Linked DNA regions of Solanum lycopersicum. The protein of the gene in region 1 binds, or shares a complex with, the protein of each later gene. Links are inferred from orthologs where the notes say so. Each region holds a gene or a part of one and is shown in the gene's direction. Other genes may lie near its edges. The genes, in order: kinetochore protein NDC80 homolog and kinetochore protein SPC24 homolog.

Evidence for each region.
Region 2: kinetochore protein NDC80 homolog (region 1) and kinetochore protein SPC24 homolog share a complex: the UniProt entries of both Arabidopsis thaliana proteins name them as parts of the NDC80 complex. The link is inferred for Solanum lycopersicum from reciprocal best matches to the Arabidopsis thaliana genes AT3G54630 and AT3G08880.

The regions. Positions count from the first base shown.
Region 1 is NC_090800.1:89,051,783-89,061,610, reverse strand, and holds kinetochore protein NDC80 homolog, read left to right. Parts: upstream 1-5,102; 5' UTR 5,103-5,225; coding exon 5,226-6,349; intron 6,350-7,560; coding exon 7,561-7,807; intron 7,808-8,465; coding exon 8,466-8,612; intron 8,613-8,751; coding exon 8,752-8,967; 3' UTR 8,968-9,129; downstream 9,130-9,828. Other genes in the region: NDR1/HIN1-like protein 26, read right to left, coding at 166-252, 2,101-2,697; uncharacterized protein, read right to left, coding at 9,722-9,828. UniProt on the Arabidopsis thaliana protein: Acts as a component of the essential kinetochore-associated NDC80 complex, which is required for chromosome segregation and spindle checkpoint activity to ensure proper cell division.
Region 2 is NC_090803.1:60,963,765-60,973,793, reverse strand, and holds kinetochore protein SPC24 homolog, read left to right. Parts: upstream 1-4,002; 5' UTR 4,003-4,114; coding exon 4,115-4,292; intron 4,293-5,945; coding exon 5,946-6,088; intron 6,089-6,178; coding exon 6,179-6,279; intron 6,280-7,447; coding exon 7,448-7,521; intron 7,522-7,634; coding exon 7,635-7,741; 3' UTR 7,742-7,941; downstream 7,942-10,029. Other genes in the region: protein FRIGIDA-like, read right to left, coding at 9,795-10,029. UniProt on the Arabidopsis thaliana protein: Acts as a component of the essential kinetochore-associated NDC80 complex, which is required for chromosome segregation and spindle checkpoint activity to ensure proper cell division. Required for the maintenance of plant architecture.

The DNA.
Region 1 (9,828 bases):
TCAGTTAATAATTAAATGCCTTTTTTTTTTTCCACTACAATTAGTAGGCTCAATAGAATCTTGCTTTTACTAAAATAAGTTTCCAAATGTTACTTTTGCAATTTGCATTTTTCTATCTTTGTTTAACCAAGTCCAACAAATGTGGTTACTTGTGGGTTAACAGTGTCATACACTTAGACCATCAAATCCACATTGCTTATATGTGAGAGCCTGTTTCCTTGGACTAATCACTATTGCACAATCCACTGATACCTGTTCAACACCATTCATCATCATGTACTGTTAAATTCACACACACTGCTGCAAGCATAACAAAATACTTGTATGGTTAAAAGTTAATGATACCGTTCTTTATAGGATAACAATCGACAATCATATTGGCTTGGTTCTAGACTAGCCATAAAACAAAGGAAGGAGGGCCGCTTCTGGCTATGGAGCCAAGTATACATAGAAAACCACACCTAGGATTTTTGAACCCCCTTTGCGACCACATCAGAATCTTCATTCAACAACGGTTTCCACCCTACAACGCATTATGGTTTTCTGGCAAAGAGAATTCAATTGAAACTTCGCCACCACCTAGCTACACCCCTAGTTCTCGCCTATAGTGCACATTGTATTATTTAAAAGATTTTCTCAAGTCAGTGAATGCTAAATACCCACTGGCTAATTCTTTGTGCTAGTGGAGAGAGTTTGTATGACATGAATTTGTTACTAACTATGACATTGTAAATCGTGCACTGGACTTGACCACTAGGATTATGCATCTGATGAAAAGAGTTGCTTACAGTAAATTTCCTTTTGGAGTGGGATACAGGACTAATTAGCACAAAGGATGAAGTGAAAAACAACTAGCTCAAGGATTAAGATACCTAACTGCATGAGACTAATCACTAGTCACAACTCACTGGAAAGAGTTTTTATAATCAGGAGCCGTTGGCCTTCTTATTCTTACCTCCCTAGTCCATACCTATTTCGTAGTATGTTCACTAGGAAACTTGCACCAGAGACAAGTTACATGTAATGAACTTACTTCATCCACTTAGTATAAGGCGAAGTTCTAGTGTAATGACAAAGGTGACTTAAAAATATTGGTTTAGGCAGCAGAATCAAAACCTTGTTAAATTTCCTACCTTTGTCCCCTCCTCAAAACTCCAAGGATTGAGTGTTAGTTTAACTAAAAGCAGTACAGAGTTCAGAAAGGAGCTTACGCAAGAAAGAGTCTGTAAAGCAAGATATTGGTTGTTCAAACCACAGGCTTGAGGGACTTGTGATATAGGTTATTCGGCAAGAGCTTAGCACCAAAACTAAGCCTAGTATTTAGAAGGGTGTGCCTATTATTCACGAGTTTCAAAGGCTACGGTTGATCCTAAAGGTCTGCTCCATGTGGAAAAATAATCGAAACAATGGCTAGTCTAAAATTGAATATTCCGAAGAAATGTCGGTAGTTAAAGAAAATTAACAAAAAGGGAAAAGAGGAAAGTCTCTGTCAATATAAGGAGGTGTTTATGTACACCAGGCTCTAATAGTAGGTGGAGAAATTGTACTGTCTCAACTCCTACTAAAGTATTGAGCAGCTCTAATGAATCCAAAAAACTACGACAATATCCCTAATCAATGCAGAATATAGTACTCAACGTTAAGAGTATGATCAGCGTATATTCTACTCTTCTCATATTATAATTATATGATTACACTGAATAAGCTGAGCAAAATTTCAAATCAGTTTTCTACTAGGTGAGAAAATGAAGAAACAAAAACATAAAAAATGGCAGTTTGTGTAGACAATAATGACCTAATAACTTGGACATGACAGGCAAAAATGGGTCCCTCTATCTATCACCATTATTTGTTTGTATTACTATCCGGACAAAAGCTTAGAGCAAATCATCCACCGCTAATTAATTATCCCTCCAATTTATACAAAATGTTTTCTAGCCCTTTTTTTTCTTCCATAAGGTCATGTCATTTATATATTCATAGTAAAAAGATTTATTTATTAAGTAACTAAATTATTATAGCAATTTAATACATACAAAACTCCCGTTCCAACCGATTCACAAAACCAAATACAAATAAAGTAGAATGGATAATACTAACCTCTACACCAGGTGAAGTAAAACCAAGGATTCGAATCTTAGCTCCGACATCACCCAATACCCGTAACTCGACCCGGTCATTCAAGGCGGCGTCACGAATCAAATCTGCTGCGTCAGCTTGGAGCAAGTTAACCCGATCCACAACGATGGTAGTTTCAACCCGCTTAACACTATGAGCTGGCTGGTAGAACGCGGGTACGGAGCCCCGACCCAGAGGAATCCCACGGTACATGATCGTGAACCGGGACTCACCGTACTTGATCCCTACTTTATTATCATTGAAAGCAGTGAAAACCATACGAATATTGAGTGAAACAGAGGCGGAGGAAGTTGCAATCGCAGCTGGATTAGGTGTAATTCCGACGTATTGAACACCCACTTGCTGAAGATCGAACTGGGGTTTTTTAGGCTTGACGGCAAGTACAATAACAAGTATAACAGCTAGAATGAGGAGAAGTAAGAAGGAAAAGAGTAGAAATAGGCAACAACAACAACCTTTAAATGAAGCTTTAGATGATGAAGAAGAAGTAGGATGAGGGTAATATTGAGGATGATGGTGGGTGCCATTAATACCATTTTGAGTTAATCTTGAGGTCATATTGTTTTTTGTTGTTGAAGATGAAGAAAGAATTAGAATAAGATTGAAGGAATAATTTGTACTGTATTAAGACCCACCACTCTCTTCTCTCTAATCCCTTTTTCAACTTTGCTTTGCTTTAGGAGAGAGTGAAGATGGAGGGAGGGACAATAGTGTGTGTGTGTGTGTTTGCTTGGAATTGAAAAAAGGTGGCATCAAAGTGGGGTAATTTTTTGACTTTGCATTCTTGCCATTATTGTTTTTGGTTCTTTCTTTCTCTTTCCCCTTTGTTCTTTACTAATTGTATTACTTATTAAATCTTTTATTTATTTGGAAATTTGAAAAGAAATTATAGGGTTAGATTTATTTCTATTTATTCTAATTTTAATGGACATGGTTAATTACCCTAATATGATAGTTATTGTCAGTGGAAGGTAATATTATTTTATGAAATTATTTGAGGTGGATGAAGATTGATATGAATATTATAGTTGTTAAAAAAAAGGAGAAATAATGATTAGAAAACATTGATTTGAATGATGAAAAAAGTTATTAATATTTATATTAAGATATATTGTAGTAGTTATTTTTATATGATTAGTTTCAATTATAAATGAGTTATTAATATTTGTATTAAAAATAACTTGACTGTTACTAGAATTTTATTTAATATTACATTGTTCATGACGGTTTGATAGAAAATAAGATTATTTTCACGTTATTTTAAATATTTTTATTTTATATTTATGTCTTTTAGTATACTTACATATTCGTTTTCATATTTTTATTTTCGTCACTCCATCTTTCAACATGCGAGTTTTTGACTAACTAGTATTTTGCTTTTTACATCAAAATCGTTCTCTAATATAACTATCATTTTGTAATTAATTTTAAAATTTTTGGTGATATATATCTACTTATCACACAAAACTCTATAGACGACCATTTTAACTCCTTTTTTTTTTTTAATTTTGTTTAAATAGCGTAGAATCTCAAATTTGAACATTTACCCAGCTTATTTCATGTCTAGTTTAAATTACTAGTTAATTCTAAAATATCTTTTATACTAATAATAATGAAACTAATTAAAAGTGTTTATTATTGTAAAAGTAAATAGACGTTTAACTAATACTGAAATCTTTTCTATTGTGATTAATTAAGAGAAGCTTTATTAATGAAAAGTTAATCACGTTATTGGAAAGGGAGAGATCTATTAGATGATAAAGTGGCACATCATGATATATATATTTATTTATATATAGAGAGAATACGAAGTGTTATAAATAATATAAGTTTAATTGATTTATTAAAATGGAATAGAAGGAGGAAATTTTAGGTAAACTTTTTTTTCTTTGCCAACATGACCCTTCTACCTCCCTCTGTTAAACGATAATTATTTATCATAGTCTTCAGACAAATATTTAAAAGTAATAAATAATTGATGAAATTTTATCAAATTATTTTAATAATATTTCTTCCATTTCAATTAATTAAATTGATGAGATATTTCATACATTTAAGATTTTTTTTTAATATAAATTAAGCATAATTTTTTATTTTTACTCTTATTAATTATTATTAAATTTATAATTAAAATAATTAAATATTAATTAATAATTAATTTCAATATTAACTAATGAAAGGTAAAATTGGAAGAACATTATAATAATAGTTTTGAAAATTAAACAATTAAGTTAATTGTAAAATAAGAAAATGTTTTAACAATTCAATTAATTTGAAATGAAGGGAGTTCAAAATATTAAAAAAATAAAAGTAATATTTAATAATAAGAACAAAATAAATACAAAAGAATAAATTATTGATTAATTTTATAAATCAGACAAGTATCATTTAAATTAAATTAAGCAAAAGGTAACATGCAATACCTTTTTAGGTAAATAAACTACTCCTTCAACTTTGACGAAAATCAATGTTTAGTTGACAAATTTAAAGGATTGAAATTTATAGGCCTACGTAAATAGATTTTTAAATTTGGTGAGTTTTTTTCCTTAGATATCTTAACTATATCATTTTTTTATTAAATTATTGAATCATTCATAATTTGTTCTTTTAGAATATTGTTAGTTGATTTTGATCGGCTTTTTAATTGTAAATGTTTTCAATTGTGTTCGAATTGTAATAATTTTGATTGAAGAAATAAAGATAAAATCGTGTTTGTCTCATTTATTTTCTAATGTATTCAAATGACCTAAATAAAATACAATTGTTCTCGAATATTTTCATTATTAATTGAACTAATGAATTGTGAAACAACGTATGTATCCTTTATTAATATCCTTTAAAAATCTGATTTCACATCAGATATGAAAATTTTAATTATTTAATAGGAAAATAACGTAGTTGAGATATATGAGGGGTGAAAATCCAACATGATACGTCTATTTGGCCAAATTTATAAACAGCATAATTAAAAAACAATTAAACCGAAATTCTAATTGAAATGCCGCCATTACTCATTTTCCAATTTCAAAGCAGAAACACAAGTACCTTTCACTAGCCACCGAGATCAAGCAGCAGTTTACTCAACAATGAGAGGCGCCGGACGCCGTCGTACCAATTCTGCAGTGCCGGATCGCCGTCATCCACCACCGACTCCGATAAACGACCCAAGGCAATTTATCTCCACTGGCGGGCGTGATTCCGACGCAAGCTTCGCCAGTAGCCGGCCTTCATCTGCCGGTGTAAACACTCGGTCCTCCGCTATCCCCATCTCTGACCGCTCCTATCAACTCTCTGCTCTGCGTACAATCAATGCTTACCTTTCCTCCCACTCTCTCCCTTTTACTCTCAAACATCCTCTCCCTTCTGCAAAAGATATCACCGAAACCCTAAAATTCATTCTCTCTCGTTTCGGATTTTCCTTAGCAGAGTCGCATAAACTCGAAGATGATCTCCAAACCCTACTGAAATCCCTAAATTGCCCCGTGAAATTGAACAAATCTGCATTACGCGCCCCTGGGACGCCTCATTCCTGGCCTAGTCTACTTGCAGCAATTCACTGGCTTGTTCAGCTATGTAAATTTGATGATTACCGGATGAGTTCGGCTCAACCACTAGCTCCGAGTAATAAGGAATTGAGATATACTGTAGAGAGTTATTTGCATTACTTTAGGGGGAAAGATGATCAAGTAGATGAATTGGATCGCCAATTTATGCAAGAGTTGGAACAACATAAGGAGCGGTTGGTTGAGGATGTGAATGTCTTGGAGGAGAATGTGAAGGCTCAAGAGGAAAAGTTGGAAGAAATGAAGACAGGACCATCGGAAAGAGAGACGTTGGAGAAGGAGAAGAGTGCGTTGGAGGAAGATGTAAAGAAGTTTCAGGCTATCATTGAACAGTTAGAAGGGCATATAGTGAAAATGGATAAGATGGTGGAAGAGAAAGAAAAAGGGTTAGAGACTAAGGTTACAGAGAAAGAGAGCATTTGTGCAGAGAATGAGGAGTTGAAGAAGAGGGTGGAGGAACAAGGGATTAATTCCAGGGATGCAGATAGGATGAAGAGGGAGTTGCATGCTTTGGAAAGGGATATTGGGGATATTGAGAACCAGAGGATTGAATGGGAGGAGAAGGCTTGGGACCTCGACTCTGCGATTGGGAACATGTACAAGAAGCTTGAGGAGCTAATGATTGAGTGCAACCAATCTATCAGGAGGTTGTCATTCCCTCTCCTGTTATTTATGTTGTTTGAAATAAGAGTATCTTACTTTCCATTTAACAGCATGAGATTCAATATTTTTCGTAATATAAGTGTTTGTTGTTCTATGAACATGGATATATTGCATTGCTGTGCTATTTTAGTTGGACTAAAGCTATAAGAATATGGCTACTAAGATAAGATTGGAAGGACATTATATTGTTTTCCCTCAATTGATTGTTTCTATCAACATTCACTTAAGTTTAAATGGCCGTTACAACATGATACTGTTAGATTGCTTCTATAATGGGTTCTCGGCAGATAATTTAGGTGACAGATTAATGGGAATGCAATTTGCTGAAAGTTATATGTAAACTGACTTTATATCTGTGCTTCTCAGAGTTTAATTGATTCACTAACTTCCAAAAACATGCCTTTCTTTCTCTAATGGGTAGTGAATTGTTAGCTACGGTGATATATGAGAATCACAATTTAGCCCATTGTTGTAGTGCTGCTCCTCTAAACTTTGACTTGAGATATGAATGAGGAACACTATACTAGTCACAAGGCAATAATGCTAAGATTCTCATCATACCTTTTAGTTATAGATTCTTGAATTTAGTTTTTCCAATCACTCCGGTTAGAAACTAAGGCTGCAGCATGCCTCCATTTTTTAAAGAACAATTGATCCTTCAATGTTGTAGTCTCTGCATTAATTAGATGTATCTTGCCTGACTGGGTGCTATGTTGGAATTGAGTTCTGTATTTCCAGCTATATGACGGTCCTTCATGAAGAATATTTTTTATTCTATATTCATGTTTTTATTGTTGGATTATGCGGCAATTGATGATACACTTTTTGAATTTGGCCAAAGCATGGACGAAAACACCCAAATGCCACTCGGGAAAAAAGATTTTGTGGGAGTGTCTCTATGCAACAATCATTTCTCAGATTTCTGTGCCTTCTTGTTGCTGCTTGAAAAGTTCTTTTCTTTTCCATAGCTTATCAGATTGAACTGTTGGAGCAAATTTTCTACAATTTGATGATTTAGATCATAACTTGGGAGGGGTTAAGATTGTAAGTTTGAAACTAGATCAGTCAAAGTGAGATGGAGCAAGTATATTTTTGTATGTTTTCTGTGGTTTGCGGTGGAACTTTCCTTCTACTTGTTGCTCGTCATCATTTCCTTAATTACTCTGACAACAAACAGCCTCATTTGAAATTTCAGGTTAAAGCTTGGAAATGAATTTCAGTATCAATTGAATCCCCAAGGGTCCTCACCAGCAGAGGTATTAGGTATAAATTACAAAAAAACATTAAAGCCCACTCTTGCATCCTTTGAAGATGAGATGAAAAAGAGTTCCATGGGGAAAATGGAAGAGTTGATATATCTCCAGCAACAGTCATCTGAGAAGGCTATGAAATTAGAGTCAAAGAGGAATCGTCTGGCTACTCTTCAGGCTCACATTGATGATGTAAGTTTAGCCAGCATCCTTTCCCACTATAGAATTGGACACTGGTCCTCTCTCTCTCTCTCACACACACACACGATATTTAATTTTGTATAATATATAACATTTTATCGGAAGTGAATCTGATGACATAATAAGTGGCATTCTATCTTCTAGTGGAGATGCTCTCAGAGTCAGAGGTACCTGCACTATTTGGAAATCAAAAATGCATAAAAAATTTCCCACTTAACTGTTTTAAAATATGTACAAAAGAATGTTTTGGGTAATAATTGATACTTGTAAAATTGTTTATGATCCAAATTTTAGAATGTAATGATTTATCATGCCTCAATGAGCTGAGTTTTGAGTCTCTTCTTTTTATGAAGTGAATTAGTAGTTGATCATTTATATTAGCGCCACTGAACAGCTTCTCTTTGGCCATGGTATATTTGTGTTTCTTTTTCTTCTTGCGTGCATGCGCTGCATGCGTGTCACTGCTTAAATGTTTTGGCCTTTCAGCATTGAATTTGAAAATTAGATAAAGCGATGTTACCATTATTCACAAATTCTAATGGCATAAGGTCTATCAGCTTAAAATATATCTTCTATTAGTCCTTTGGGGACGTATAACGGTGCCTTCAGCCTAATATGGCTATTTGTTTCCTTTTATGATTAATGATAGTTGGAGGCTCAGTTGGACTTGGTAAAGAAGGAAAGACTGGACTTCACATCTAGCTGTGCAATAGAAGCCGGAAGGATAGTTGAAGAAGTTGAAGCAGAAACGCAGAAGTTGGATCAGGTTGAAAGAGAGGCGGCGGACTTCCTGAAGGTAAGGCATTTGCAATTTAGACAAGATTTATACTGTAATGCATGGCTTCTAAATGTCTTCCGACAAATGTTGACTTGTGTGGTTTCTCGTCTTAGATGTATAATCTTCATTTTAATTGGCATCTTTTTCACTTTCAAAGGCGTCCAAGGCCAAATTACAGGAAACAATCGCACAAACTGAGGAAGAAGTGCAGCTGTGTGCCCATGAACTCTTTGCTGTTGTTGATTCAGTTTCAAAATATAAAGAGTATATTACATCAAAAGTTGGCATGATGAAGAATGATCTCGCAGAAGCTGCCGGGACTATAGCAGATCTGCATAAAGCTGGTTTGCCTGTCTCTGACGCAAACCACTGATTCCTCCTGATCTTAAGTACATTATGTTTCTTCGTTTTTACTTAAAATATGGTTATGTTGGTACACCATCCCTTACAAAGGTCTACAAGTGTGTATTCCATGGTATGGTCTTAACAATTGATTAGACTGTTGCTGTGAAGATCTCATTAAGTTCTCGTCTGATCATGCTAGTCACGAAGTTGACATTTGTTATTTTGCCCACTTGTATAGTAGCACAAAATCCAGATTCAGATATGGAACCACAAGAAACTTAACTGACAACACCACGGAACACGTAGCATTTAAATTTATTGCATGTCATAAACTTTCCATGAATAATGATGTCATTAAAAGTACGTTGTGTCAACCCTGACTGAAGCAATTCTATTATGCATATAGTTCAATCTGAGAAAACTGCAGCTATAGATTTTCCTTAATTATGTCCATTCAGAAGCTTAGCAGGTTGACAAGTAGTGCATCTTCATACTGAATCTCAACCTTGGCCAATTAATCTTCACATGAGTACAAATAAAACATTCAAATATAGGTGTGTATTTGAGAGAAGTAACTTTCTTTTTCTTACTGATAAATACTACGAATAAGACACTCAGCTGATACAACAAAATCGGAAGGTTTAACATAAATAAAAGTAATCCTCATAGCGGAGCTCAGCATGACACATATAGCTGCCACAAAAGCCAACCAAACACAAAACACCACTTCTTATAAAAGCCCATTTCCTGACTAAACCTTTACGGAGATGAAAGATCCATATCTACTGCTCATCATTGTTATCAATCCGTGGATCACCATTGCCTGCATCAACTTTCACATTTTCATCACTCCTCTGGTTATTCTCATCCACTTCTAGCACATCATCCA
Region 2 (10,029 bases), on another chromosome or scaffold:
ATAAGTTGGACCACTTTATCCTTACCAAATTAAAAATAAATAAAAATACTTGGACCACTTTTTGATTTATTAATTCATTTTATCACTATCTAAAATATTTATAAATCAAAATAAGTCAAAAAGTCATAAATTATAATTTTATCTTTAATATATTTTCTAATCTCTGAAATACTCTTCCTAAAACATACTAACTCCTAATTATTCTTTTTATGCATAAATAAATACTGTTTTTGTCTCTATTTACTTGTCCATATTTCTTCTTTTAGATGTCTCTATTTACTTGTCCATTTTGATAAATCAAGAAATGACAAAAAAAAAAAATTCTATTATACTCTCATTTAAACTTCTTCAAAATTTCTAAGTTTTAGTTCATCCTTTTTGAAATCATATTAATAAGGATAGTGACCTTTTCGAAAGATTATGACTTTTCCAAATGCTTGTGATATTTTCGGTAAGGCACAATAAAAACTTTTTTCACACTATTCTTTGTTTTCTATAAATTGAGGAATTTCCTCACATTTTATGAGCATAATTTTTCTAGACTTGTTGTACTACTACTAAATCTAGTATTCAAAGTGTACTTTATTGACGTTGCGTGGTTCGCTGACATAGTGATTTTAGATATCGATACACCGGTGAGTAAGATTGTTCTATCTATCCTTGGAGAATATATTCCGTTAACCTCGAATACTTGAGGGGAATAATTTCTTTAAGGGGACATTGTGCATTCAGTGAACTCGATTTTCTTTCTTTGAGAAAAAGATTTTTATATTGTTCCTAATCAGTTTCTCATTCTATTTGCTCTGTTAGTCTTAATTTTCTATTACTCTTTAAACATTGTTGTTTGTTACCAAATTTTTCAAAATTTTGTTCTAAGTATCTTAGAAGTATAAGATGAACAACAAAACCCAAATGAGCTCTAATTATAATCATTCATCCTTAAGTAGGTTTTAATTAATCTCATAAAAAGTTTATTCTCAGTATCTTATGGTATAAAGTCAAGCCAACAAAATTGAAGAATGGACGTAGCAAAGTCACAAGTCACATCCATCCAATAGAGGAATGTATCACAGCAGAGTCAAAATCACAATTAGCGTCAGAATAGAGTTAATCCGGATAAAAGGAAGACTTCAATCACCTTCTTCTCAACTCCCCATACCCGAACGTCAGGGTGAGGGGTGAATCTTCTGTCTGATTCGATCTCAACTATGATATATTGCTGCAGGATGTTGTGAGAGTTTTACCATAATTGTGTAGCACAAAAGGACTTAATTTCATGTTGGTGTAAAGCATCGTTGGAATGCCGAGAGACCGTCGGAGATTTTGCAGAAATTGGCATTGATCAATTCCTAAGAATATGTTGGAGATTGTTGCAATTCCGACTGTTTCTGCTGCCGGGAAGAGTTTCCTGTTTCATCTTTCTGTTCTGCTCCGAACAATTGATCGGTCAATGATGGTGTAGCCCCGTCGCCGTCGCTGTAAATCGCCGGTTTATCCATAGTATTCACTGTAGTAGTGGAGAGTGAGAAAAATTGACAATAGAAAAAAAAATTAAAAAATCAAAGCCCTAACGGAGAGAATGTACGACCTGTTAGTATTATATTTTCGGACTAAATATATTTTTCTTATTAAATTTTAATATAATTTTTAGATAAAAATATTAATTAGCATCCAATAAATTTATATTTACGATTATAATTTATAACAGAAAGTCTAATTACGAGACTATGTAAATTTTTAATTTGTAAACAAATTTGTCAGTCATGCTTCAATATAATGAGAGAGAGATACATTTCATTTAAAAATATATCAGTTTCTTTTCTATTATATAGAAGAGCTAAGTTGAGGACGACTAAGGATAAATTTATCAATTTATAAAAATTCTAGAATGTTGGTTTCTGTATTATGATATCAAAAAAGTGATAATAGATTTGTAATGACCAACCAATCAAATATGTTTTTCTAAATGTCATATTTATCTTAATGACGTGACATCTAATATGAACACACATTTTCAATTACACTTTTTCTTAAATTTTTTCGAATATAGACTAATAATTAGTCTATTTTAATGAAATGTTACACTTCTTATAGATTTATTTTTTATATAGTAATAAAATTTTCATTAAATCAAAAATATCTATTAACCAAATGTAGGATAAATTTTTGTTTTTACAACATACTAATGATTTTTATAAATCTAAAGGTAATTCAAAATTACTGATTTGTCAAGACCTAGAAAATTGATTTACGTGATTTTCTTCTAAAAAAATTATATTAATATATTACAACTAATATGGTTAATTGACGTGATAACTTATTTTAAGTAATATTCCTCTATATTATAAAATAAAGAACTACTTTCCATGAAGACATATAAAAATCTTCATACCAATTCATAAAACATCAAATTTGTAAATTTTCATAATAAAATAAATTACATATTAAAATAAGTAAATTAATTTATAGTATGAAATTTCTTTGCATTAATATGTATATGACATAAACATATTTTGATATATAATTTGTGATTCATTTTTTATAAATAATTTTCAACTATAAATAAATTATCTCTTATAATTTTCATGTTGTTTCATTATGACAATTAACATATGACATATTCTAACGAGTGGCAATTAACTCATAATGACTTTCATATAATAGTGAGCTGCACTTTTTAATTTTGATTTTACTTCTTATGATAAGATAGTGTCATTCGTCGAGGGCAAGGAGCGCATCAAATATTAGATTATAAATGCTTTATAACTTTAAAATAAATGTTTTCTCAATTGATATCAATACTTGAATTTCAAAAAAGTTAAGTTATTTTATTATCTTGTTTTATTACAATTTTGATATTATCGACAAAATATTGTTAAAAAAAATTACTATAAAAATAATTGTGAAAAAAACTTTAGTATTTTCATTTTAAATTTTGTTAAAAGGCAAAATAGTTACAAAAACTTAAATTTCATAAATATAAAATTGATCTAAAGTTTGTAGTCAGTTAGTTCATTTTGATTTATGTAATGTTTATTTGACTTTAACATGAAGTATTTTCTTTTTTTTAAAAAAAAACACTTTTTGTTGTAGTTTAAAACTAGCCATAGATGTTCATATGATTTTAAATCATCTTACTAAGAATAAAATGAATATTTTTGAAGTCAAAATGTTATTAAATATATTGATACGTTATTCTTTTGAAATTGACTGCACAGAAAAATATACCACATAAATTTTCATAGTGTTAAAAGTTAATTACATTGTATCTCCACTCTTTTTTAAATTACAAAAAGTTCATATATTCATCAACAGAAATGCAAAAACATCGGTCGCGATATTATTCAGAAAACTTGCAGAAACATATCTCGTGGATGAATCAGAGAGAGAAGAAATGTATTCGAGAGGGAATATAGGTGTATCTGAAAGGAGAGAGATGTATCCAAGAGAGGATAGAGATATATTAAAGAGGGGATGAAGATGCCGAGAGAGAATATAGATGTATCCGAGAGGAGATATTGATGTACACAGAGGATAAGAACGTAGCTGAGAGAATTTTTGTAATTTTTTTAAATGGTAGAAAATTTTAAAAAATATAATAAAATAAGATATGAATTTAGATAAAAATTTTAAATTAAAATTGAAAAGATAATTAATTATATTAAGCACGTGAACGGGCCTTCAATTATCTAGTATAGTAAAATATTTTAATAAAAATATACTTAAATTATCAAAATCAAACATAAATTTATGCTAAAAGGTTAATTCGACTTAAAAATGTAACGAAGATGTATGTTTAACTCACATTTCACTGATTTTTCATCAGATAGGTAAGATATTGCAATTTATAATACTTTTAATATTTATTTAATTATTAAATCAATATAATTTCATTTCATTTTAAAAATTAGTCAAATTAAATATGATAATATTATTTATCAAATTATTTTTTAAAATAATTTAATAAAATAATAAACGTAACAAAGTACATAGTATAATTTAACGGGAGGGAGGAGTTCTATTTTTCTGTGAACTCCGCTAATCATTCTTCTTTTCAAATTACTACATTCGGAGGGAGAAAAAAGCCCTAAACTTTGGTCTGGAGAGGTCGAAAATGGTGGATGGGTCGAATAACGTGGATGTAGAGAAGCTGATCTCCTTCAGTAAGGATCTTGTTCAGTTTTTGAAAGAAGATAAAGATGTCAGCTTCTTGAATCAGTGTAAAGAGCAATTTAATGCCCTTCAATCACACTGCCAATCTGAGTACCAGGCTCTTCAGAATTCCATTCAAGGTGGGGTTCTTGTATTTCGTTTTTAATTTTGTAAAATTGAGGGTTTGTTGAATTTCTTAGTGGCTTAAAGTTTGAATCTTTCTCAGTTGGAGATCTCCCCAATCCTCAGAGTCATAAGACTATGTGATAAAGAATAAGTTAGCTTCAAGATTGAACCTTTGGAATTGTGTGTATAATGTTCTTACTGTTGAATTTTGATATTTTTGTTTTGGAAATGGTAGGATGGTTACTAAGTGAACCTCTTTCTGTGTTTACTTGAAGCATTTGGCCATGAAAATTGTGAGTATTTGAAAATTGGAGTTGGGTTTGGCCATGAATACAAATTCTGGGTTGTTTCTGAATTTTTATGATTGATTTGGAGTGAAGAAAGTTTTTGGTGTTTTTCAAATTCTTGAAAATGCAAGTTGAATTTTATGGCCAAATGCTCCCTTAGCTAATGGATTATCCCAAGAGACAACCTACTGGTCAGGAGGTTACAATTTAAGCTGCAGATCTCGGTGGTGTCACTCATACTAGCTTAGTAGTGCCTGACTGGACCTTCCCTACTTCCTATGAACAATGTGAGAGAGAAAAAACATTGGCTTAAAGATTGCAACTTTTAATCTGATATAGACTGAGTTTACAATGTGCTTTGCTGTTTAATGCAGTTTCTTTACTCCTCGTAGCACTTCTGCTTTATAGATACTTCTTTACACTTGAAACCTTGCTTTTTAGTGATATCTTTTTTGGATGTTTCATTCAGTAACATTCCTTTAATGAAAGAGAAAAATGGGGGTTGAATCAACTTCTTATTAGTTTAATTAGTTTAAAGATTGAACCCAAGGGACATCTGCCTTGAGGCTGTAAGTTGAACCACAGTGCATAGTTCAAACCTCAGGGTCACCACGACGCAATAGGATCTTCCTGGATCCTTAAAAACTATGTAGTGAAAAAAAAACTCGGCGTAAGATTGGAATTTTGAATCAATGTAGACAAACTTTACAATGTTCTTGCATCTGGATGATTCTTTTTCTTAGTACCAATTATTAGTGGATAAGTCTCTTAACGTTGACCTGAAACACCATTTTCTGTTTGCTAGCTTACTGGAGTGTCAGGTCAAAATTTCTTCTTGCAAAATATCGTCATTTCTGGATGTTTCTTTTATTAGTAACATTTTGGGGAGTGTGGAGTCTCTGTCTCTGTCTTTTATACCTTCATGAGTACTACTGCTGGAATCTGGATCCTCTCACGCCAACCCTCATGAGATTTTTTTGGAATGTACTATATATAGTGTAAAAATTGGTGCTATTACCTACTTATTCCTGATAGTTTTGGTGATATTTCTACTTTTGGTGCAGTTTGTTTCCGAGTTGAAGTCCTTTTAGCCAATTATAATGCAAAAATATGTAGAGGCCCAGTACGTGTGTCTAGTTTAATGATTAGCTCAACAGACCACTACTTTGGTTCCTTTCGAGGGCCCAACCCTGCTCCTATGATTTCTCTCTGGCCTCAGACATACATGTTGTTTTTCTTATTAAATAAGTTGGAAATTGGAATTATGTTGGTATTAAGTGTCTTTGTTCAAGCATTAATTTATGATTGTACTGGGAGATGTTCGGATTTGTGAATTTGAAAGTATTAAATGACTAATTTCAAGTCATTGCATACACTCAGATTATCAAGGAAAGATAAATGCATGTAAGCAGAGAACAACAGAAGCACAATCTGAAGCTGCTGCAGAGGCTGAAATAGATAAGCTGCAGAAAGAGTTAGAACAGGAGATCCAGAGAGAACAACTGCTTAGAGAAGAACTTAGATAAGTATATTAAACAACGTTAGATGCATGAATTTGTATTTCTCAGATAATTTAGTGTTATGCTTACTGATTGACACCTTTTTTAAACACAGTTATAACCGATGAGATCAATGATTTAGATCGCCAAAGAGACTCTATTGAGGAGCACAGGAAATTGCTCAAGAAAATTGAGCAAGATCATCTTCGAGCTGAGTAAGTAATCATAACCTCTTGTACTTTAATATGTTTATGATTATGTCAGGCATTTGCTTCCAACATACTTCTACAAATTTCGTTGAAACAATCCCATCGTGGCATTTGTTGACTCCTCCTCATCCTCTAAGTTCAAACCGTGCCTGCTGGCCCTTGAGGTTTCTCGGTCATCAAAAAAGAAAAAGATATTGATATGTTGACTCGTTAAGCTTTTGCAACTTTATGCTGTCAAAGTATCTCAAGAGGTTGGGAGGGTCTGACATGTTTTCATCATATTCTGTGGATAATTTGCCTACTCAGTTCCATATTGCAACATGGTACACATATTTGAATGTATCTGCCATATGCCAATCACTGTTAAGATAGTCCATTAACATCCCATCTGGTGCGACCAAGTTCTACCACATTACATCTTTGGATGTCTAGGTGTAACTATCGCCCAACTAAGTATTTCTACAAATTGAATATACACCTGATTTGACTTTGTCTGGACGCAACCAAACATACCCCTCCTTCCCACTTTATGGGATACACTTTTCTTTTTAGCCCGTTCCGAAAAGAATAACACATTTCTAAATTTGTAAACAATTAACTTTACACTTCCCATTTGACCCTTAATGAAAAGCTTTTATGACCATCCAGATTTTATGGCATTTTTAAGACCACAAGTTTCAAAAGTTCTATAGACACAAATGTTATGACATGTTTAAGACCACAAGTTTAGGAAGTCTTGATTTCTCTTTTAAACTCTATGACTATTCAAACTATATCACCTAATTTTGGAACTGAAGGAGTAGTAATTTTTTAAGGTTTACCTCTGCTGCAGTTTTACATGAACATCATGCGAGGATTGAAATTTATTAGACGTTTTACTTTTTTTCTTTAGAAGCTTACACTCTGTAGACACACAGCCGCTCGCAGAATATCCTGTTGCAGGGATACCAGTGTTTTTATCCAGAAAGTTCCTTTTCCTCTTTCTTTCTCTTTAAAATGCTTAGTATGAAAGTTTTATTCCCAGTGTGCGATTGATGTTTGGTAATTTGTGTTAATATTTAGTGTGATCTTTCCTTGTCTCTCTCTAGCTACTATTGTTTGTAATGCATCTTCTTTAAGGGCTGTTTCACGTATATTGTTTAATTTTGAGCAATTTTCTCATCTTATTTTGTAGGATGAAGCTATCACTGTATGCTTCTGTCACAAGTATCATCCCGGACTTGGATGATCAATCCAAAATATCAGGCCGTATCCTAATTACTTTGTTTGCTAAGCTAACATTTCTTATCCTTTTCTAAATTCACCTTGTGTCTGTTTTTTCGAGATTGTGCAGCAATTTAGTTCACCTTGACCTATTCTAGATATTGTGGAGAGAGATAAGAAGGTGGTTGAAAATTTCGAGTTTGATTCATCAAATCAAACTGCCTTTGACACTTGTAACAACATCTGGAAGATGATTAATTTGTAAGAAGCAGCATTGCTCAGGCTTAGTTATGACTTGCATTGTTAAGAGTACCTTATTGCCTTTGCTGATCAGATTTTTAATCTAATCATACTAGATATCATTGCCATTTTGCATTATAGTGTGTTTCATTTGAAGTATAATCTTGTATTTTGTACATGATATTTGTTGTTTCAGAATCCAAATCATTTCTAATGCTTTCACAAGTCTCAGTCTGTAAAGTTATAAATTGGAGAAAATCAACTAATAACATTTGCTAGGTAGCAAAATCCAATTTGCAACATTGATATGTAACTGCGCAAGCTTTTCTCAATATTCCATCATCATTCCATTACATTGAAAGAATTGCTCACATATTTCACCACACTAAATACAGCAACAGTATGATAAGAGAGTCGAGCTAGCACGTTAAACATTATGAAGATTTTATACCTCATATGGCCATTCAAGCAATTGTAAAAGTACAAAATGCATTGTGGAGATCAATAGGAAGCTGTAAGATTTTACATAAATGTTACAAGAAAGAAATATGCTACAAATTCTCATATGACTATATCTGGGGCATTGCTGATATCCCAATTTCAATTCATACATAATAGTTGATCTGTTGTCTCTCTTATACATCTCATTCAAGCCAAAAGTCACAAATGCTGTGTAAAAAACAGTGGAAACAGATGCAAATTCTCACAATCAGTGTTCAGGCCAAGGTTTGCCCATCAATCTCTCCCCCCGTAACAAAAAAAAACAACTAAACTTCAATCTGAGCAAGTTGAGATCTGTTTGAGTAAATTCTCACCGTCTGTGTCAATGCATCTTAGCCCATCTTATCTTGTATTATAATGACTGTTGGTTGTCTACTTAGGACCTACAATGTGAGCAAGCTCACAAAGGCAGAGACTCCCCCTGTAACCAGAAGGAAATGTAAAGGTGCATTTATGAACAAGCAAAAAATTTGACTTCAGGAGCAACAAAAATATTGTAACAGCTGAACTGCATATAAAAACAGACATTTGGTGACACTTAAATGAAGTCAAACTTCAACACAGAAATAAAACAAATCAAGTAAATGTGGTTTCCATATGATGCATATCTGCAAGCCCATAAACTAAAATGCGAAGTTAGGAATAAAAGAAATTGAATATAACATACTCAACCACCTTCAGCTGTTCTACATCACAGCAATTGAAACATAACACATTCGACCACCTACCTAAGCAACATAGAAACAAACATTAAAATTGATCCCCCAAATCCCAAATCAAAAGGATTGATTCATAAGTCGAAGGTCAACTTCAGAATATATCTTCTAGACAATAGATATGCAAATCATGTCAGACTCAAAGGCTGATGGCCAAAGATCAAACAATTCACACCAAGCAATAAACTACAACCTTGGGTAGACTAAAATCTAAAATTTTGACACATTTAAGCTAAATGCAAGAACTATATCATTTCATAACATCAACGGAGCAAATAAAAAGATGCAGGTCCAACACTTACTCGTAAGAATGGAGAGAGAGACAAACAACATATACAAGTGCACATGCCCACAGTCAACAATTGAACAGACCATCAAAACAACAAACATCATATGTATCCTCACGATTCTTGTTTCTTCATTTAATCTCATCTCAGGCGAAAATTTACAAGAATGTCACACTAGGAAAAAAGGAAGATGCGTGTTTGAGGAATTGAACCTACGACCTTGGGTTTTCCAAGGAACCATTGTGACCTGCTGGACTGGATGAGGAAAAGGGAAAACAAGATTGTTAGAAGATCATGTTTGTTGGAAGGGAGGAGAAACCAAAGGGAAGTCGATAAGTTATTTATCTCTTTTACCTCTTTAAAAAATTATTGTAATTTTTGAAATCTTTCCAAACAAATGAAAGTTTTCCAGGTAGAATTTAGACATCACTATGCTAGGCCGAACATTCACCAGAGCTTTATAGTAGCTAATGAACTACAACCTTCTCCAAGACCATGCGTGCGAGATCAATTCTAGATTGGGTATACTACAAAAGGGAAACTACGTTAGAAATAATGCCTGCCCAATGCAAAACTATCTCTTCCAGTACAAGGAGGGTGAAGGATGAGCAAGGGCAGCAGATGGAACAGAATCAGCAAACTGATATGGTGCAGGTATGGTGTTTGGCAACCGTGCAGAGCCTTCCATGTATGGTGGAGGCTGATTAGCATCACCAGATATGTTTTTTTGCAAGCCGTTGGAGCATTTCATGTATTGGTTTGGCCTATAAGCATCACCCGGTATGTTGTTTGGCAACCCCATAGAGCCT